Linked DNA regions of Pelodiscus sinensis. The protein of the gene in region 1 interacts with the protein of each later gene in a pairwise test. Links are inferred from orthologs where the notes say so. Each region holds a gene or a part of one and is shown in the gene's direction. Other genes may lie near its edges.

What was found.
Region 2: the proteins of STK4 (region 1) and SAV1 interact in binary tests that used the Homo sapiens proteins (3 or more experiments, as listed by UniProt). The link is inferred for Pelodiscus sinensis from reciprocal best matches to the Homo sapiens genes STK4 and SAV1.

What each region holds. Positions count from the first base shown.
Region 1 is NC_134728.1:23,719,638-23,729,650, forward strand, and holds the start of STK4 (serine/threonine-protein kinase 4), read left to right. Parts: upstream 1-5,579; 5' UTR 5,580-5,714; coding exon 5,715-5,746; intron 5,747-10,013. Other genes in the region: TOMM34 (mitochondrial import receptor subunit TOM34), read right to left, coding at 40-139, 2,234-2,354. UniProt on the Homo sapiens protein: Stress-activated, pro-apoptotic kinase which, following caspase-cleavage, enters the nucleus and induces chromatin condensation followed by internucleosomal DNA fragmentation.
Region 2 is NC_134714.1:6,343,916-6,353,964, reverse strand, and holds the start of SAV1 (protein salvador homolog 1), read left to right. Parts: upstream 1-5,137; 5' UTR 5,138-5,227; coding exon 5,228-5,321; intron 5,322-8,052; coding exon 8,053-8,430; intron 8,431-10,049. UniProt on the Homo sapiens protein: Regulator of STK3/MST2 and STK4/MST1 in the Hippo signaling pathway which plays a pivotal role in organ size control and tumor suppression by restricting proliferation and promoting apoptosis.

The sequences.
Region 1 (10,013 bases):
GCAACAATGAACCACACTAGGTGTGTGGGTTACACTTACACTGAACAGTCCTTAACACAGAGACTACAATTTCCATCTTTCAAGTAGCAGGCAGCTCTGTTTGAATAGAGGACACTTGCTTCTTCAGCATTCCTCTCCCCTAAGAGCAGAGACAGAAAACAAAACAAATCAAATTGTGACGTGCATAACAGTATTCAATAGACCTTAAAGCTACCTCATTTGAGGCAGCCACTTGCTGCAGAAAGCAAGACTCCATGCACCGTGGCAATTACAGGTATTCAAGTCACGGATGGAGAAAGAACAGAGAGGTTTACTGCTGATATCACTATCGGTACTAGCAATAGTACTCAACATTTTTTATCTCCAAAGCATTAGCTAATTAATCCTCAGGCCTCCTGAGAGGCAGAAAAACACTATTTTCCCTGTCCTAAAGATGAAGAGAGAGAGGCAGGCTAAGTGAACTGCCCAACGTAAGGATCAGATTCTAGGCTTGGAGCTTACAACTACCTAGCTGCCAGGCTGTCTCTTTTTCACCTGTCCATAATTCAGTAATTTGGCCTTTTCAATGGTGCAATAGGTAGACACACCATATGGTGGTAGTCAGAGTTAGTGAAACGTCATGGCTTGCAGAAGAGTTTCAAAAAGCACTAGTAACTTTATGGCAGGGTAAGTTTGCGGCCTAAAGACCTGCAGCGGTCTTCCTTTACACTCTTTTACACACGCATGGCAACAAAGTCAAGCTGTATATGTCCATAAAGCTGTTCAGTGTAGGGCACTGGTGGGCAACCTCTGGCCAGAGGGCAACACTTAACCCATTGGGGTTCTATGTGTGGCCTACAAAACACTTTTACTGTTGCCCATCTGCAAGGTTGACAGATTCTGCTGATTTGGCTATGTCTACACTGGCCAGTTTTATTAGAAAATCAGCCGCTTTTCTGGAAAAACTTGCCAGCTGTCTACACTGGCCGCTTGAATTTCCGCAAAAGCACTGACTTCCTACTGTAAGAAATCAGTGCTTCTTGCGGAAATACTATTCTGCTCCCATTCAGGCAAAAGTCCCTTTTGCATAAAGCTTTTGTGCAAAAGCGCCGGTGTGGACAGCTCAGATTTGTTTTCCGCAAAAAAGCCCCGATCGCGAAAATGGTGATCGGGGCTTTTTTGCGGAAAAGTGCGTCTAGATTGGCACGGACGCTTTTCCGCAAAAGTGCTGTTGCAGAAAAACGTGCGTGCCAATCTAGACGCTCTGTTCTGAAAATGCTTTTAACGGAAAAGTTTTCCGTTAAAAGCATTTCCGGAAAATCATGCCAATCTAGACGCAGCCATTTCTGTCTACATAGTTTTTTCCTTTCAGGTATTACTAAAGTGACATGCACTTAAGGCAAGGGCACGTGAAGCGAGGTGCATACTGACTGCACACAACACTGACTGTAAAAGCCATGCGTTCCCTCTGCATCCAATCAAAGCGCCGCTAAGGTTCAGTCGGCACACCAGAAAATTCCAGGCATGCAAGCGTAGTTACCAAAACTACCCTATCCCAGGAGACTGTCTTGGTTACAACAATCATGTGGCCCAGTGAGATGAAGAAGGGCCACTCATGTGGCCCACTCACTAACTTAGGTTGCCCATCTCTGATGTGGGGGTGCAGCCTTGTGGACATTTTGTCACCTAGACTATTAAAGGGACATCCATTTGCTGTCTATATGAAACCATTTTCAAATGGGGGGGGGGGGGGGAGAAGAGTTTATGAACCCTTGCAGTGTCCTAGTGATTTGTGTTTGAATAGCCATGCCTGTAAATACTGGATCGGGCTCAGCTGTGGAGGTCACACTACAGGGATGGTCTCCCTTTCCCCAGCACCTGGTTCAGTGCCTCTACCTACCTCCTGGGGCCCCAGCAGCGGTGTAAGGCACAGGCACGGGGCCATATGCCATCGCTCAAAGGAACGAGCACACGCAGCTCTGCGCCCACGGGAAAGCGGGGGAACGGAGGGGAGCGGGGAGGCTTTAACACCCTCCCCAAGTCCACGGGCCAGGGAAGAGCAGTGATTTTAGGGGAGGGAAAGGCGCTTCCGCCCAGAATGCGGGGGAGGGGCCGTTTTGAACACCAGGGCCCGGGCCCAGGCTGAGGGGAAAGGCGGGTTCAGACCCCGGGCCCCAAGGGGAAGCAGATCCGCGCCCTCCCCCCCCACGGGACACGGCAGCTGCGCCCCCCCGGGGCCCGCCCCCGCCCGTACCTGCCGCCTCCAGCAGCCCCAGCGCCTGGCTGTAGAGCGCGGCCGCCTGGCAGTACTGGCCGCTGCGGAACTGCTCGTTCCCGGCGCGGCGCAGCTCGGACACCCGGCCCGCGCGGGCCATGGAGCTCGGAGAGCGGCAGTCTCCGCTCTAGAGCCTTCTACTGCTTCCTGCCGGCCGGCACCGGCGGCCCCGCCTCCTGCGCCCGGGAGCCCGGCCCCTTCTCCGGAACTGCCCCGGCTGGAGGCTCCGCTCCCCTGGCGCAGGGCGGGGGTCGGTGGTGGGGGAGGGATACACCCCCCCGCCCCGGGCTATCACCCCCCCCCGGTTTCCTAACTCCCCAGCCCCGGGCTATCACCCCCCCAGCTCCCCTAACCCCCAGCCCCGGGCTATCACCCCCCCCCCCCCGGTTTCCTAACTCCCCAGCCCCGGGCTATCACCCCCCCCCCCTCCCAGTTTCCTAACTCCCCAGCCCCGGGCTATCACCCCCCCCCCCGGTTTCCTAACTCCCCAGCCCCGGGCTATCACCCCCCCCCTCCCAGTTTCCTAACTCCCCAGCCCCGGGCTATCACCCCCCCCCCCCGGTTTCCTAACTCCCCAGCCCCGGGCTATCACCCCCCCCTCCCAGTTTCCTAACTCCCCAGCCCCGGGCTATCACCCCCCCCCCCCCGGTTTCCTAACTCCCCAGCCCCGGGCTATCACCCCCCCCAGCTCCCCTAACCCCCCAGTTCTGGGCTATCACCTCCCCCCCAGCTCCCCTAACCCCCAGTTCTGGGCTGTCACCTCCCCCCCAGCTCCCCTAACCCCCAGTTCTGGGCTATCACCCCCCCCCAGTTCCCCTAACCCTCCCCCCCAGTTCCCCTAACCCTAACCCTCCCCCCCAGCTCTCCTAACCCCCAGTTCTGGGCTATCACCTCCCCCCAGCTCCCCTAACCCCCAGTTCTAGGCTATCACCCCCCAGTTCCCCTAACCCTAACCCTCCCCCCCAGCTCTCCTAACCCTCAGTTCTGGGCTATCACTCCCCCCCAGCTCCCCTAACCCCCAGTTCTGGGCTATCACCTCCCCCCCATCTCCCCTAACCCCCAGTTCTGGGCTATCACCCCCCCCCCCAGCTTCCCTAACCCCCAGTTTTGGGCTATCACCCCCCCCAGCTCTCCTAATCCCCAGTTTTGGGCTATCACCCCCCCCCCCCCCCCAGCTCTCCTAATCCCCAGTTCTGGGCTATCACCTCCCCCCCAGCTCCCCTAATCCCCCCAGCTCTGGGCTATCACCCTCACCCCCAGCTCCCTTCAGCAACAGCTCCCCTCATCCCATGTACCCTGAACCCCCAGCTCCGGGTTATCACACACCCTCAACTCCTCTAACCCCCAGCTCCGGGCTATCACCTCAGCCACAGCTCCTTTCACCCCCAGCTCCAGGCTCTCTCTCTCTCTCTCTCTCTCTCTCTCTCACACACACACACACACACACACACCCACCCACCCACCCACCCAACCCAGCTGGACTATTGTGTCTAGTTCTGGACACAATATTTCAGGAAAAATGTGGACAAACTAGGAGCAGATTCAAAGGAGAGTCATAAAAATGATTAAAGGTCTAGAAAACATGACTATGAGGGAATATTTTTTTTAAAAATGGGTTTATTTAGATCAGAGAAGAAGACTCAGCAAGGATACGATAAAAGTTTTCAAGTACATAAAAGGTTGTTACAAGAAAGAGGAATAAAAATTGTTCTCTTTAACCTTTGAGGATAGGACTAAAAGCAAAGAGCTTAAATTACAGCAAGGGCATTTTGAGTTGGACATTAGGAAAACCTTCCTATCAGGGTGGTTAAGCACTGTAATGAATTGCCTAGCAAGGTTATGGAATCTCCATCACTGGAGATTTTAAAGAGCAGGTTACACAAACACCTGTCAGTGATGATATAGATAAGACTTAGTACTACCAGGAGTACAGGAAACTTAGGAACTATGGCCACTAGGGGCAGAGAAGTCTGTGCATGAGGATGCGCAACATAAACAAATTGTCTCAGGGCCCTAATATGCTGTGTGCCAAAAGTTGCTAACCCCTGGATAAAAGGAAAGGAGAACAGAGAATACATCTCTCTTCTGATTCCCTCTTCTGCTAATAACAGGGGGGAGCTCCCATTTCTCCTGGGATGACACGGTAAGTCTTCCTCTTCCTCTTGCAATTAGCTTTAGCTTCTGGAGCTAGTGTTGATGAACTATGCCAAGTTCTTGAGTGAATAACTGATCATCTTCTCCAGTGGCAGCTTGGAGCACATTCAACCCAGTGGGACAGCCTGTATTAATTTTGTTTTAATGGCTTGTTGGAGAGTTGGTGGCTCCTCCATGGGGACATGGTCCCAAATATGTCCCTAATGCAGTTCATGACTCCCCTGACATCTGTCATCTCTGCAGCCAGAGGGAGACTTAGCTACGGTACATCATATTGTAGCCCCTTTTACAGCTTCTCTAGAACCCCTTATTGAGATTCTAGCTCCACTTCTCTCCTCGCCTCATTTATGCACAACCCATCTCCTGAATCCACAGAGTTGCCAGTGTCAACTGTGTCCTGGTGCTGGCCATCCATCACAACCATAAGGAGGAAGCTGGTTGGTGCTGTGCAACTGAAATACCTATTTTCTGATCTCTCATTAAGTCATACCTGCAAGCAGAGGTTCCTGTGGGCTGCACCCACTGACTCCTTAGACACCTGTAAGGAGAAGTAGGTGCTGTTAAGAGTTCTTTGCTCAGGCTGCTCTTCCAGTGTCCTGGTTTTTAACCTTTAACCATATTTCCTGTCTTCCTTTTTTTTCATGTGATGTCCTCAAATTTTACATGAGTTTTATGGCCCCCTCCCAACTGGTTGAGGGCCATTTGCTTTGGGCAGGCTGTTGTCCTCTGCCCCACATTAACCATAACAGGTTGGAGGCTTGGAGCACACTCAGGAGAGGGTTGACTGAGTAGGAAAGCAGAGGTCCAGGAAGCTGCTGGGCTGCTTCCAACTCCCAGAGCAGAGTCCCAAAGGATGAGAGTAGTTTCTAGGGCAAAGACCAAGGGGCTTTGGCGCCTGGGTTGTGGGCTTCAAAATCACTGCTTAGTGCAATCAGGGAGATATTTATTTGCTCGGAATATTTAAATGTATGCAAAAATAGGTGGAAGCGGTGAGGCTGCTGGGAAATCGCTGCTTCACCCCTCAGCACACACCCTGCCTTAGGAGGTGACGTTGAGCCAACGCGCGAGGGAACTGCCCGCCCCTTCTGAGTGAGGAGGGGCGGAGCCAGTGGAAGGACCACGCCCCGGGGAGGTGGGCGGCGCAGCAGCTTCTATGAGCCCATTTGACTGGGAGCCCGCCCCTTGTTTCCGGCGTATGGAGAGGAGGCGGAAGTGAAGCGGAAGCGCCGTTGGAAAAGCGCCGGGAGTGAGCGGCTGGAGTCATGGAGGAATGAGTGCGTGCCCTCCCCTGCTTCGCTAGGGTGCCATGGAGACCGTGCAGCTGCGCAACCCGCGCCGGTGAGGGGCCGGGGCTTGGGGTGTCGGGACCTGGCCTGGGTAGGGAGAGGCTGGAGGGCATGAGGGAGGTGGGTCGATCTGGGGGATGAGGAGGGAGTGGGTCGGTCTGGGAGAGCCTGGAGATGAGGGGGGGGGTAGCTCTGGCGGATGGTGGGGGGGGGATGGGAAAAGTGGGTCAGTCCCGGGGCTGGGCAGAGTGGTGGGTCCGTCTGCGGAAGGCTGGGGGAGATCAGAGAGGTGGGTCGATCTGGGGGCGAGGGGGATTGGTCTAGGGCAGGCTGGAGATGAGAGAGGTGGGTCGATCTGGGGGTGAGGGGGATTGGTCTAGGGCAGGCTGGTGATGAGAGAGGTGGGTCGATCTGGGAGACGGGGAGGGGAGGTGGGTCCATCTGGTGGTCAGGGGAGGGTGGGTGTGGGCAATGTAAATACAAAAATCTTCCCACTGAAAGGTTAAATCCTCTAAAAATCAGGCAATATTCATAGGTGACTCATCCCAGCTTTTCTCAGGGAGAGCAGGGACCCGTGGGATGGGTGACATAGCAACAAGCATCACAGGACTCTTCTCCACAGGCTAAAAATCTACTCAGCATGTGTCACTACAGCTTCACTAGTATTGGTGCATGACTCTACTGCAGTGGGAGTGTTAGAAATTCATCGAGAAGGGATTAAAAAAACAACTGAACGGAAATAAATGTAATGTGTAGAAAGCCCACATGTAATAATTACATGGATAAATGATAAAGGGCTGAGGTTATTAAATACATGGCAGAGCAATACACTTTGCATACATTAGGGATATTAAATTGTGTTCAGTCAGCTAATCAAGTAGTTGGTGTAATTTCTATTGACTACTCGATTAGTCAATAAAGGGGGCGGTTCTTAATAAATTTAAAAGGCAGAAGAAGTATAGCCAGGGGACTGGGCATGAGCCAGGAATCAGCTGAACCTGGTGGCTCTTACTACATTTAAAAAGGAGAGGTGCAGCATCAGAGACTGGGCATGAGCCAGGAATCATGAGCCAGCTCCTTCCAGCACCGGCCCCTGCTTTCCCCCCCTTGCTAACTCTCTTTGATAGAGGCAACAGATGGGAGGAAGCAACTACTCTAGTCACTATTTGACTACCTGATAAGCAGGGCTCGACAAATAATGCAATCTACTTGCCCATGGCGAGTAGATTACAACCTGGAAGAGCCGGGTTTGGGCGATCTGCGCATGCGCTGATCGACAGAGAGCGCGGCTGGTGAGCCCTGCTGATAAGCATATGCAAATTTTGGAGTAGCAAATTCTAATCTTTTCTTCTAAGGTAAAACTTGCAGCATCCAGAGCAAGGTGTAGGAGTTTGTTCATTACATACCTGGGGGAAGAGGTGCCTATTTTTTTCAAGTAGGCTATATGTGGTTTAAAAATGAACAATTATGGTTGAGTTTTGTTGGGCCAAAGACCAGCACTACTGATGTCTACTAAAATGTTGGCGTCACAATTTCCAATCTTCAGTGCCATTGTGTTTTAATAAAATACCCTCCAAATTATCCTTTTCTTAAAGAGTGATTAGATACATTTAACAGTAAACATGGGTTCCATCAATTTGCTAAGGCTAGTAACAGCATTGTTTTAGGAACCTTAGTGAAACCATAAGTCATAGAAATCTAAGAATAGGTTGAAGCTGTGAGATACTTCAAGACTTTTCAGTAGGTTAAATATTACACAGGAAAGATGCAACCTAGAGTAATTGCATGCTACTTAATGTAAATATAGTAAGCAAAACATAAGAATGGATATACTGGGTGAGACCAAAGGTTCATCTAGCCCAGTATCTTGACTTCTGATGGGCCAATGCCAGTTCTACTGAGGGAATGAACAGAACAGGTAATCCTCAAGTAACGGATCCCATTGTCCATTCCCAGCTTCTGGCAAACAGAGGTTAAGGACACCATCCCTAGCAGACTGGAGATCTGATAATATATTATTTGTAATCTTAGGGGAAAAAAGCCATATGCCTTTCAGCAATTATTCTTCTATATACGGCACTTATTTTATGACCATCAAAGATGAATGTTAAAATTATGACTATGTTCAGGATGAAAGAAGATTCAGAAGGCTTGTCTTGCGGCATTTATGGTCTAGACAACTGAAAATACAATGGGAGGCCCAAAGAAATGTTCTATAACACCTTTTAAGAATATTTTTACTGTACAGGCAGTCCCCGGGTTACGTACAAGATAGGGACTGTAGGTTTGTTCTTAAGTTGAATTTGTATGTAAGTCGGAACTGGTACATATTGTAGGGGAAACTCTAGCCAAACATTTCTCCAGAGCTCAGTTTTATTCTCCCACACCTCACTTCCCTCAGTCCTTTATTCTCAAGCTGAGGTGTCTGCTAAGAAAAGCCGCTCCGTGTCTCCCTGGTCTGCTGGGGGGGGGGGGCACTAGCTTCGTGTCTCCCTGGTCTGCTAGGGAGAAGCAGCTAGTGCGGGGTTGCCTCACCCCGTTTGTAAGTAGGGATCCGATGTAAGTCGGATCCATGTAACCCGGGGACTGTCTGTAGTTATAAGATAACAAATCAAAATATCTCTGATATACAAGATATTGAGAAACAATTAATAAAAGCTGACTACAGTATATAATAAAGCAAAGAAAAACTGGAATAAACTTATTGTACCTCTTTACTGTAATACAGTAGGAAAGACTTCACTGGCTGGGATACTGTTTGTCTGTCTGATGTTCCATGCAAAAGCAAAAAACCTGAAATTAGGAGAGTATGGTGATTGGAGTTGCTAAATTATTTAATTGAAGGAAACAAGACAGGGGACTTCCCCTTGGTGATAAATTGTGTGCTACACAGTGAAATATGGCTATGTCTGTTCTGTTGGTTAGTTCCAAGTACATTTCAGTCTGTTTCTGTGCATCCTGAAACAGAATATTTCTGGGCCTTTATACATCAAGTCTGTCAAGTGCTAATGACTTAGGGTATGTCTACACTGCAAGGCTATTTCAGAATACCAGAGGTATCCCGAAATAGCTACCCTGCATCTTTTGAACATGTTTGCTATTGCAAAATATAGCAGATGTGCTATTTTGGCATCCCTGTAAACCTCGTTGCATGAGGGATAAGGGATGTTTCAAAATAGTGTGTTATTTCGAAAAAGAATTGAAATAAGTTACACAATTTGCGTAGTGCAAATTGTGTATCTTATTTCGAGCTAAGGGTGTAGTATAGATGCACCCTTAGAGACTCTCATCTCTTTAGGGCTGTAGAACATGAATAACCGATATGTGGATGCTTATCGGTTAATGCTATCAGCTACACACAATTCTCCCCCCCCCCCCCACCTCTGTGTGTCTGCATTTAAAGGATTTTGAGATCTGGCACCCAGTCAGGCTGGCTCAGTCGTGGCTTGCGCCGAGTCCCAGCAGCTATCTCGGCTGCAGCTCAGCAGTTCAAGTATTTTGGGAGATACTTTAAATGCACAGCTGCAGTGGGGGTAGCTGCTGGGACCTGATGCAAGCCAGGACTAAGCCAGCCTGACTGCATGCCAGCTCTCAAAATCCTTTAAATGCAGAGACACAAGAGTCTTAATTGTGTAACCAACAAAAATTTTTGTCAGCTACACGGTTACCGAATTACATGCTCCCCAACATCCCTAGTCTCTTTAAGGGAGTACCTGGAGCATTTTGTTATATACTCACTCACTCTCTCATATCTTTCATAACTGCCAAATCTTATCTGACACTTGGGAAATTTGGCTTCCTAATGAATAAGCACTTAGGGCACATCTACACAGCAGGGCTAAAGCTGAAATAAGCTATGCAACTTGAGCTACGTCAATTGCGTAGCTGAAGTTGAAATGCTTATTTCGGCTTTTGGCGCTGTCTACGCAGCAGGAAGTCTGTGAAAAAGCACTCTTCCTTCGACTTGCCTTCCTCCTCGTAAAATGAAGGTTACAGAAGTCAGAGTAAGAAGTCCCCCAGCTTGACATTATTTTGACATTGTGCAAATAGCTGCTTGTAGTGTAGACACAGACTATATTATTTCAGAATAATGTCAGTTATTCCGAAATAACACTGCTGTGTAGCTAGGCCCTTTTAAAAACAGCTTTCTCTCAGGCTGTGTGGTGACTGTTGTGGGTGATTGTTGTGGTAACTTTCTGTTAGAACACAGGATTATCTTTTACGCCAGATTTGCTGGGTCCAAATACACTTAGAATTTTTCAGTGAGGGATGAAGACTAGCTGTATAAGAACACAACCATTGGCAACACTTTGAATGGA
Region 2 (10,049 bases), on another chromosome or scaffold:
GTTTATTTAAATCCCGCGGGGGATATTTAAATCCTCTGCGGATTTCCCTATTCTGACTTGCCTGCTTTGCATCCCTATTCCATAATAGGGGCCAGTCTAGACGTAGCCAATGGGTCTTGCCAATTCAAAGATGATACTACAATGTTTCAAAAAATACTATCAATTCTTTCCTACACCATACTATGTGAATCGCTGTGAAAATGAGAAGTTTTGGGGTTGTGAGGTTTTTTGGGTGGGGAATTGTATATGAATTCATTCCAAACAACTTGAGGGATTGTGTTATATCTGCACAGTTAAAGAGTGGTGTGTCTGTTTGCATTGGTAAAAGGATAAAAGGTTAATTTAGCACCCTTTCCTCACTCAGTTGCAGCTGAATTTCAATTCAGAGAGGGATTTTTTTTATTTTTGTCTGAGCAAAAAGATTGCAACCCAACTGACATTTGCCATGTATGGATGTTGTATAAAATGGTTTAAGGGAACAGTTTGCGTTGGTAAATCTAAAGCAAAGGACATCATTGTCACAACTGCATTCTGTTGCTTTGCTGCCGTTCAGAATAGCTTCTGTTCCCACTAAATGTCAAATGCTGTAATTAGTGATAATTAACGTATGTAAAGATGAAGACCAGTGGGTATATTTTTATTATATCATAGAACTGGAAAAAAATTCAAGAGGTCAAGTCCAGTTCCCTATAATATACAGGTAGAACTTCTCTAGTCTGGCATACTTGGGACCTGACCAGTGCTGAACCAGAGAATTTGCCAGACCACAGGAGGTCAGTATTGTCTACCTGCATTATCAACACACCCTCTGCTTACTGGGCTCTTAGAAGACATTCAGGGGTAAATTAGAGCTAAAGAACAGCACCGAACACTGAGAGCCAGGCCTGGTGGCTGTAAATAAACTTTATGGGACCATGGGAAACTTCACCCCATAAGTGGACATCGGGCTAACTAAAATGATGCTGGACCACAGATGTTGCAGGACCAGAGTTCCAGACTAGAGAGGTTCCACGTGTACTGTATTACATCAGTTGTCTTTATACCATCATGTAAAACAGAAAGACAAACCAAAATGGTTTATATGGACATTAAAAATATAAATTACTGTACTCATTACTTGCTTTTGGTTTTTTTCTTGCATGAAAATGAGTATTTTGTCGTGGAGACCAATTGCACTATTCACTTGTAATTCATATGCATTTACTAATCCAAGCTAAATTTTAAACTGAATAAAATAGTAATAAACTGACAGGTTTGCAATTAATGATAAAAACATTATGAATTTTCCATTATGGAAAAAGATACACCAATTTAGGGAGCAAAAAGTGAATTAATAATGAACCTACCTCGAAATATTTTTACTTTTAGCCTGTTTTCATTCTCCATTGTTTTCCCTCTTAATCATTGTTACAAGTAAATACTCTTATTGAAAGACTAATCTTTAATCCATAATTAGATTGCATTGCTATAGAGAAAAATGTTTAAATAGATTTTAGGATTAAATTTCCCTCATGTTTTGTTCGTGTATATGTAACCCACCCACCTACTGGGTGTGGTTCACTGTCACATGTAGTGGCACTTAAACCACTTAAAGAAAGAGAACAATGATTCTTCTCTACAACCTTAGCTGCGCCAACTGGCTTTCAGCTCAAGCGGTAGAGCAGGGCTGGGGAACCTCAGGCCCGGGGGCTGGATGTGGCTCCCGGCTTGCCTGGAGCCGGCCCCCGAGGCTCAGGGTCTCCCCCAGCATTGGGGAGCCTGCGCTGGTACTCCAGCTCCTCTGTTGTTCCACCGCAGGGCTGGAGCACACAAAATCTACTAGGCTGGTCCGTCCCCCACCCAGGCTCTGGTGTGTGAGGGGAACATGAGGAGTCTCTCTCCTCAGTCGGGGCCACGTTTGTTTGTGTTGAGGTTTTTTTTGCTTCTCACTTGTGTGCGGCCCCCAACTCATTTTTCTGTGGGTCAGTGGCCCCCGACCCAAGAAAGGTTCCCCACCCCTGCAGTAGAGGCTTATGCACTAAGCTCCTGAGGTCCCAGGTATGGCATATAACTTCAAATATGCTTTTCTGTTGGTAATAAATTAGAGAATGCTCACTAATTTGCACTGCTGAAGGGTTGGTTTCTCTGCCATTTTTGATGCTAGTGTGCTGCAACCTCTGCCTATAATACGGACCAGATCTTGTCTCTGTTCCTTGTGCTTTCCTGGCAGTATCCATTTGTTGTCCCTTGTCTTCCACTTCGATTGTAATCTCCTTGGGGCAGGGAGTGATAGTTGTGTGCATGTCCAGCACCAAGCACAATGGAGTCCTCGTTGCTGCAGTGATAAAAACGTGCAGTTTACACACCTCCACTAGCTTTGCAACGTGCTCATCCATTATCCTACTGGCTCTTTCTTTTCAGTCAGGGCAAGTGTTCACGTGAGACACCTGCTAGGCAACTGGCCCACCAGGAATCTAACACAGGCTGGAGAATGAGAACAAGCCTGTGGGGGTAAAATTCACCTTCTGAGGGAGTTTGTTGCAACCCCTTTCAGAATAGAAGGTGACCAGCCCTTCAAAGGGAACAAAAGATGGGTGGCCCAAGACCAAGGGTGGGGAACCTAAGGCCCAGGGACTGGATGCAGCCCCTAACTTGCCTGAATCCGGCCCCTGAGACCTGGGGATCTTTCCTAGCATTGGGGAGCCCACGCTGGCACTCCAGCCTCCCCACTGTTCCCCCTTGGGGCTGGAGCACACAATCTACTATCCTGCCCTTCCCCTCCCCCCCAGGCTCTGAGGTGTGAGGGGAATGTGGGGAGTGTCTTTCTCCTCCTCAGCTGAGGGCCACATCAGTGAGGGTTTGAGTTATTTGCTTCTCACTTGTGTGCAGCCCCCAACTGATTTTTTTTCTGTAGATCAGGGGCCCCCCTCTCCCCTACAAATCTTCTTCCTAGGCCCAGCTCTTAGGCCTTATGCCTGGCCAACACCATAAGGGGGGGGGTGATCTGACATACAATGTATATCCTGTGTGTTCCCTTCCTGCGTCCTCCTGCCCTTGGGCCTCATCTTGGGTGTGTCTACACAGCAAAGTTATTTCGGAATAACGGCCGTTATTCTGAAATAACTATGTGAGCATCTACACAGCAATGCCGTTATTTTGAAAAAATGGACGGTTTATTCTGACTTCCGTAAACCTCATTCTACGAAGAATAATGCCTATTTCAAAAGAAGGTGTGTGTAGACGCGCCTCTCCTGCTATTTCGAAATAGCCCCTCACCAGGGCCCTTCTAAGTTATTCTTCCTGAGGCTGTAAAGTGAGAGAGGCTTCCCTAATGTTGACGTGCTATCTCGGACTACTTTTGAGGCTTCCCTGCAGTCTAGACAAGCTATTTCAAAATAAGCTATTTCGGAATAGCTTATTCTGAAATAACTGTGCAGTGTAGACGTAGCCTTTAGGTTCGTTCTTGTCCCCTTATGTCTTCCAGTCTCTTTCTCCTGCCCCGTCACTCTTGTCTGTTCTCATTCCTGGCCCTTCATGTCCCCTCGTCTTTTCCCCCTCCTAACCCTTTTCTGGGCCTTTTCTAGGCCTCTTGTGTCTTCCAGCCTAATGTGGGCCTGTTCCTGCCCTCTTTTGCCTCCCAGCCGCCTTCATGTCTCCCTGGACTGAACCCATTTCTGCTCCCATCTTGTGTCCTGGTCTCTTCTCCTCCCTGCCCCACCCCAGCTTTCATGAGCGGCTAGGCCTGCCCACCAACCTCAACTGTCCCAGGGAGGCCCCTTATGGCTGGGGATAGCCCTGACTGCTGGCTGAAATGAAGGGGGCTGCCTTGGCCTTAGACCTGTCCTGCCCGTTTTAAGGTGGCTGGCCTTCTGAACCCTGCAGAAGGTGCCATTTCAGATTCTGGTAGGAGATGGCAACTTTAACTGCAATTCCAGGGGCTACTTGGGCATATGAAAGTGACAGATTTTTTTTTTTTGTAGACTAACTTAGAAAGTAGCTGACAGGACCACTACCTCTAATTCCAATGTAAAGAAAAAATGTTTCATATTAGACCCATTCAGGTCTAATAGTAACATGTTCTGACATCATGTGTCATGTCACTTGAGAGACACTGGTTAGGCTTAAAATTGTAAAGTGTACTCTTACTTTTGAATACAACAATTGTAGAAAAATCTAGATTCCCTAACCAACTAGGTGCTTTTGAAAATTGCTGCTTGGGCAATCCTGTGTCCATGAGTAGCCCAAATTCCTGCCGCCTCCTTTCCCCTGCCCAGGACAGGTGATGTGTCCATGGCTCCCTACAGCTTCCAGCCCGTGACAGTGCATTGGAGCATGGCCCGGCTGGTCAGAACCACTCAGGTAACTGGGAAGCCACAGACCATCCACCTGCCTTGAGTGATGGGGATGAGGCGATGGGCTGCTCTTGGGCATAGTGTTGCCAACTTCCTAAGGACACGAACCTTAGCACACCTTTGTCCTGCTCTGGCCCCATCCTCTTAATCCATCCCCCTGCCCCTCCCTCACTGGGGCAGCAGGTGGGAATGTGGGAGGGGGTGAGAGCTGAGGGTGTGGGATCCCAGGCCAGGGGTGAGGGAGTGGAGCTGCAGGAGAGGGCTAGTGCCGGGGGAGGGGCTTGGGGTGCACGGTTGTGTGGGCTCTGGGGAGGGGGGCACGGGAGGGAGTGCGGGGTCAGGGCAGTGCTCACATGAAGCGGTGCTATTGGCCCGGGAGCCTGCGTGCCCGGCCTGCGCCCGCACACGTGGCCCCTGTGGCTCCCCTTAGTTGTGGCTCCCGGCCAATGGGAGCTGTGGAGCCGGTGCTGGGGGGGGAGCTGGGCGGAGCCAGAGCTGGGGGGGGAGCTGGGCGGAGCCAGAGCTGGGGGGGGAGTGGGGCGGAGCCAGAGCTGGGGGGGGAACCTGCCTTTGCCCCCGGCTTTGAGCTGCCCGCTCCATAGAGCCTGCTGCTCAGGCCCTAGGAGGCTGCCTGGACTAGAATGGCCCCTGCCCCCCCATAGTGGGGGGGGGGCTACAGGCTCCTCCCCCTCCTCCAGGAAAGCCCCGCCCCTCCCTCCCTGTCACGGGGTAAGGGGTGGAGCCAGGGGCAGACCCCGCCCCTCCGCTGCGTCCTCCCCGCCGCAGGGGGCGCTGCCGCGGAGCGAGGCGGGCGCTGCCGGTGTCCCAGCAGGCAGCGCGCGGCGGAGCGGCCCCATGGAGGCGGGCCATGCGGGCGGGCGCGGCGCGCGGCGGGGATGCTGTCCCGGAAGAAGACGCGCGCGGAGCTCGCCAAGCCCGGCGAGGTGCAGGGCAAGTACGTCAAGAAGGAGACCAGCCCGCTGCTGCGCAGTGAGTGCCCGGCCCGCGCCCGGGGGGGCGCTCTCCGCGGGGGGGGTTGCGGGAGCGGGGGGGTGTGGCCCCCTGGATGGGGGGGAGCCGGGGAGGTGGCTCCCGGGGGGGGGGGGTTGCGGGAGCCGGGGGGTGTGTGGCCCCCAGGATGGGGGGGGTTGTGGGAGCCGTGGGGGGGGGTGACCCCCAGGATGGGGGGGGTTGTGGGAGCCGTGGGGGGGGTGGCCCCCAGGATGGGGGGGTTGTGGGAGCCGTGGGGGGGGGTGGCCCCCAGGATGGGGGGGGTTGTGGGAGCCGTGGGGGGGGGGTGGCCCCCAGGATGGGGGGGGTTGTGGGAGCCGTGGGGGGGGGTGGCCCCCAGGATGGGGAGGGTTGTGGGAGCCGTGGGGGGGGGGTGGCCCCCAGGATGGGGGGGGTTGTGGGAGCCGTGGGGGGGGGTGGCCCCCAGGATGGGGGGGGTTGTGGGAGCCGTGGGGGGGGTGGCCCCCAGGATGGGGGGGGTTGCGGGAGCCGTGGGGGGGGTGGCCCCCAGGATGGGGGGGGTTGTGGGAGCCGTGGGGGGGGGTGGCTCCCGAGGGTGGGAGTTGCGGGAGCCGGGGGGTGTGTGGCCCCCTGGATAGGGGGGTTGTGGGAGCCGGGGGGGGGGAGTAGCCACCAGGAGGGGGGCTTGCAGGAGCCGGAGGGGAGCGGCCTCGGGGGGGGGGGGGGGGGAGCATCTGCAGTTTTTATCTCAAGTTGGTGGCTCGGCAAGGTCAGTGCTAGATTCCTCCCCCTGCGGTTCTATCTCATGGTTCCACCTCTACTAGATTTTGTGGCAGGCTGGATAATGTAGATTGGTTAACCCATGGTAAAAACACATCTTTTTTAGCAGTGTACACAAAGCCTAAATGTGACAGCGGTGCATCATATTGTTTGAAGAGTTACCTTTGCAACTGCAAGATCTGCAAACGTACTATTGGAAAATGATCTTTGCATGTTTAGGTTGTGCTCCTTGGGTGTTGATACAGAGGCATCAGTACAGGGTGGCAGGTGGGGATAACCATATAACCACTGACATTTTCAGTGGTTACATGATTACTTAACTAAACACATTTTAACATCCTTAATCTGAACCAGAATAGCCTTTAGTGTCCATGTTTTATGGCAGTTTCCTTAAAGCTGAGGTGTTAAATGCCATGATATTAATGTAACACTATGGTTAATAAATTAAGCATTGTGATTTACAGGGTTGCTAGTTAGGCCCTGTGATATAGCAGGGGTGGCCAGATTGCAGATCGCAAACTGCATGTGGTTGACACAGTTAAAGTGCAGCTTTCAGAACCCTCTCATTTCACCCCCCCCCCCCCCCCCATTTTCTGCCTGTCAAGCTGGAGGAGGGAAGCTCATCTTTTCTGCCCTGCAATGGAGTGGTGGGGCTAGGGCTGCTTCTTCCCCGGTGTGGAGGTGTCTTGGGGCTTCAGCCTTGTGGGAGGTGCATGCCAGGTCTCGGGCTTGAGCTGGATCAGGGCTTGAGCCCCAGAGGATCCTCCCCACAAGGCACACTTCTGCAGATTGTAATACTAGGCTCAGGTCAGTAAGTTTGACCACCTCTGTTATATACATACTGTAAAATATCAATACTGTTATATACGTGCAGTAAAATATTCCAGGCTTCTGGTGAAACAGTGGGCAAGTTGCTTACATACTCACAGTAACTACATAAATACAGATTTCATGATAGGGCACATGATTGGAAGTTGAGATTTGAGTTCCGAAATCTGTGCTGCTCTTTTTCCTCTCATCTTTGGCCTATCTTGTGAATTGAGATTGTAAACACTTCTGAGCAAGAGCTGCCTCTTGTAATAGCATATAGTGCTTAGCATAACTGGGCTTCAGGCTTAGGTTCCTTCGAAGCTACTGAAATACAAATAATTTGTATGTTGCATTTGTATCTAGAGACACTGTTGTGCTAGTCACTACAGGAACCAACTAAAAACCTCTCCTCTAAAGAACTTAGAATCTAATCAACTCTTTATCCACATTTTATGGACTGAGACATGTTCCTTAGATGACCGTTGTGAGGTTTAATATGAGATGATCTGAGATAGCGAAATGAAAAAGCAAGGTGAGCTAGGGCTCTGAGAACTCCTTCAGCTATTAAGCTGGTGGGTTCTTACTCACCTGCTCCAGATCTAACTGATCACTATATGGGAGGTGAAGAAATAATTTTATCTTCCATCAGGTTGGTGGTGACCTTGAAGACTTTCATCTTCCTTTGTAGTGTGGAGTGCAAGTCACGGCCTTGGGCACTGGTGCCCTTTGGTCCTTGCTGTTCTGTATGTTGGATCTAGTGTGCATGTGGCTGCAATGTATACATGGCCTGTGATACATCTGAGGTCAGACTAGTAGTTTATCTGAGGGTCTCTTCTAGCCTTAAACTCTGACTCTGCATGTTTGTTTCATATTAAACATGTTCTTAAAGCATGTTTTATAATGTACATTTGTTGAAAATGGCTGAGTTAATGTTACTTTGAAAACTTTAGCTTTGCATTTCCTGGCTTCTACAATTAGTGTACCTATTTTGCTCTTAATTGGGATATTTGTGGTAGTAAAGTTTGTATTAAATGACACATTAAGTAGTCCTGTGACACCACAGTCTCTTAAGGTTTCACAGGACTACTCGTTTTTAAAGTTACAGGCTAACATGGCTACCCCCTGAGACTTGTTAAATTATAATGTTTTACTCTTACAGATCTGATGCCTTCATTTATCCGTCATGGTCCAACCATTCCAAGGCGTACTGATATCTGCCTTCCTGACTCAAGTTCTTCTGCCTACTCTCCTGGTGGAGATGGAATAGTTTCTAGAAACCAAAGTTTCCTTAGAACTCCAGTTCAGAGGCCACCTCATGAAATATTGAGGCGAGAAAGCAATAGACTATCTGCGCCTTCCTATCCTGCAAGACAGTTGGCAACAGTTACTGAAAATGGAGATGCTGGTTACCCCTATTATTACGAGAGTCAAAGGAGGCATCAGCTAAGTGAGCGTGTACATGAGGACTGCAGATGCTATGGACACAACAATGATCTCTTCCAAAGGATGTCACAGAATCAAGGGAGGCACACATCAGGCAAGTGTTTATTTTAAAAAATACTTGGGAAGTATTTCTTAATGATGCCCCAGTCATGTTTTTCTGTTAGTATTGCATTATATATTCTAGTTCTCCTATTTATAATTACATTTCTGAAACTGTTTGTTTATGCTTAAGTTATGCTTAAGTTTATGGTGACCATGAAATAGGCCTGCATATCTTTTTGGAAAGCGAAGAGAAATGCACACACAAAAAAAAGGGTCAGACTTTTTTTTAAAGGGGACTTTATAGGATAAATTTTTAATATTAAACTTATTAACTTCCTTGGCAGAATTGTGGAATCATGTGTTCGGCCCAACTTAAGTTTAACAGATATATTTGTAAAAAATTACAATATTAAACGAAGTATACCATTTTCCAGAAGCCACCGAGCCTTTATTTCTTTATGTACTTCTGAATTTTAAAAGTAATTTTTAAGTATCATTTATTTAATATGTACTATCCTACTATTAAGTGACCTATTTTTTCCCCTACAATTTCAAGAGCTAAAAAGAATACTGCATTTTAATTGAGTGCCAAATGGAAGCCCAAGTGAGTGGTATTCTCTCATGGATTATGAAGTACTCGTCCCCTTACATTATGACTAGCTCACTCAAAAAAATGAGATAAAACTGTCACAATTAATTTTGGGATACTTGCACATTTTAGTCCCATTTGTTAAAATGTAATGAAAATTTATATTAATCTGCACTTTTAAAATACATCATTGTGGGAACATCATAGCCATTAGATGGCTTCCTTTTGCCAACTTGCACCATTAAATATTTTTAGAATAACTGACAGGCATAAATTGTGTAGTTTTGTGGTATTTGATATCAGACTGTTCATAAACAAGAGGGACGATACAATGATTTGTATAATCAAAACTTAAATGGTATTACAGCATGGTAATTCTAGATTTCTTTTTGGCTCTTCATTTTTTTTTCTGTCTTCCTGTATACATTTTTTAAAAAGAAATTGCCCATCTGTTTCCTTCTCTTTAAGTGGAACATATTTTCTTCATCCAATAAAACAACAGTATAAAAGGAGAGGCAATCCAGAATGTTTATTAATGCATGCTTTGGCATCCCTGAATATTTTTGTGTGATGTTTTGTTGTGAATCTTCTGTTTACAATGGCAAGTTGCTGAGAATCTGTGAAACTTGTACAGCATCTGTGGAATCACTCTTAGCTGTAGAAAAGTGACCTTAAAAAGAGAGAACTTGTAATATTTGATAAATACAAAAAAAAAACTTATGCCAAGAATATTTGAAGAAACTGTTTTAAACTTTAAACATGTACATAAAGCGTTTTCACTGTCATTTTGTCTTTACATGTAAGCTGTAAGCAAAATATTAAATCTGCTGTGTCAAAGAAAATAGCTCTGCCATCAAGAATGTCAAGACTTTAAGGTTACTGACCTCATATATGGAATTTTTTACTTGACAGAGTTATGCTTTTGTTATAGAAACTTTTTATTCAGTAAATAGTTAAGGGAGGGAAACAGCGTTCCAAAGAGTAATAATAGTAACACTGTTTAAAATCATTATATAATAAAGCTTTACTGTGAAGACTTTTATACAGCTTCATTTTGGTTTTCTTTCCTAAATGCAGCACAA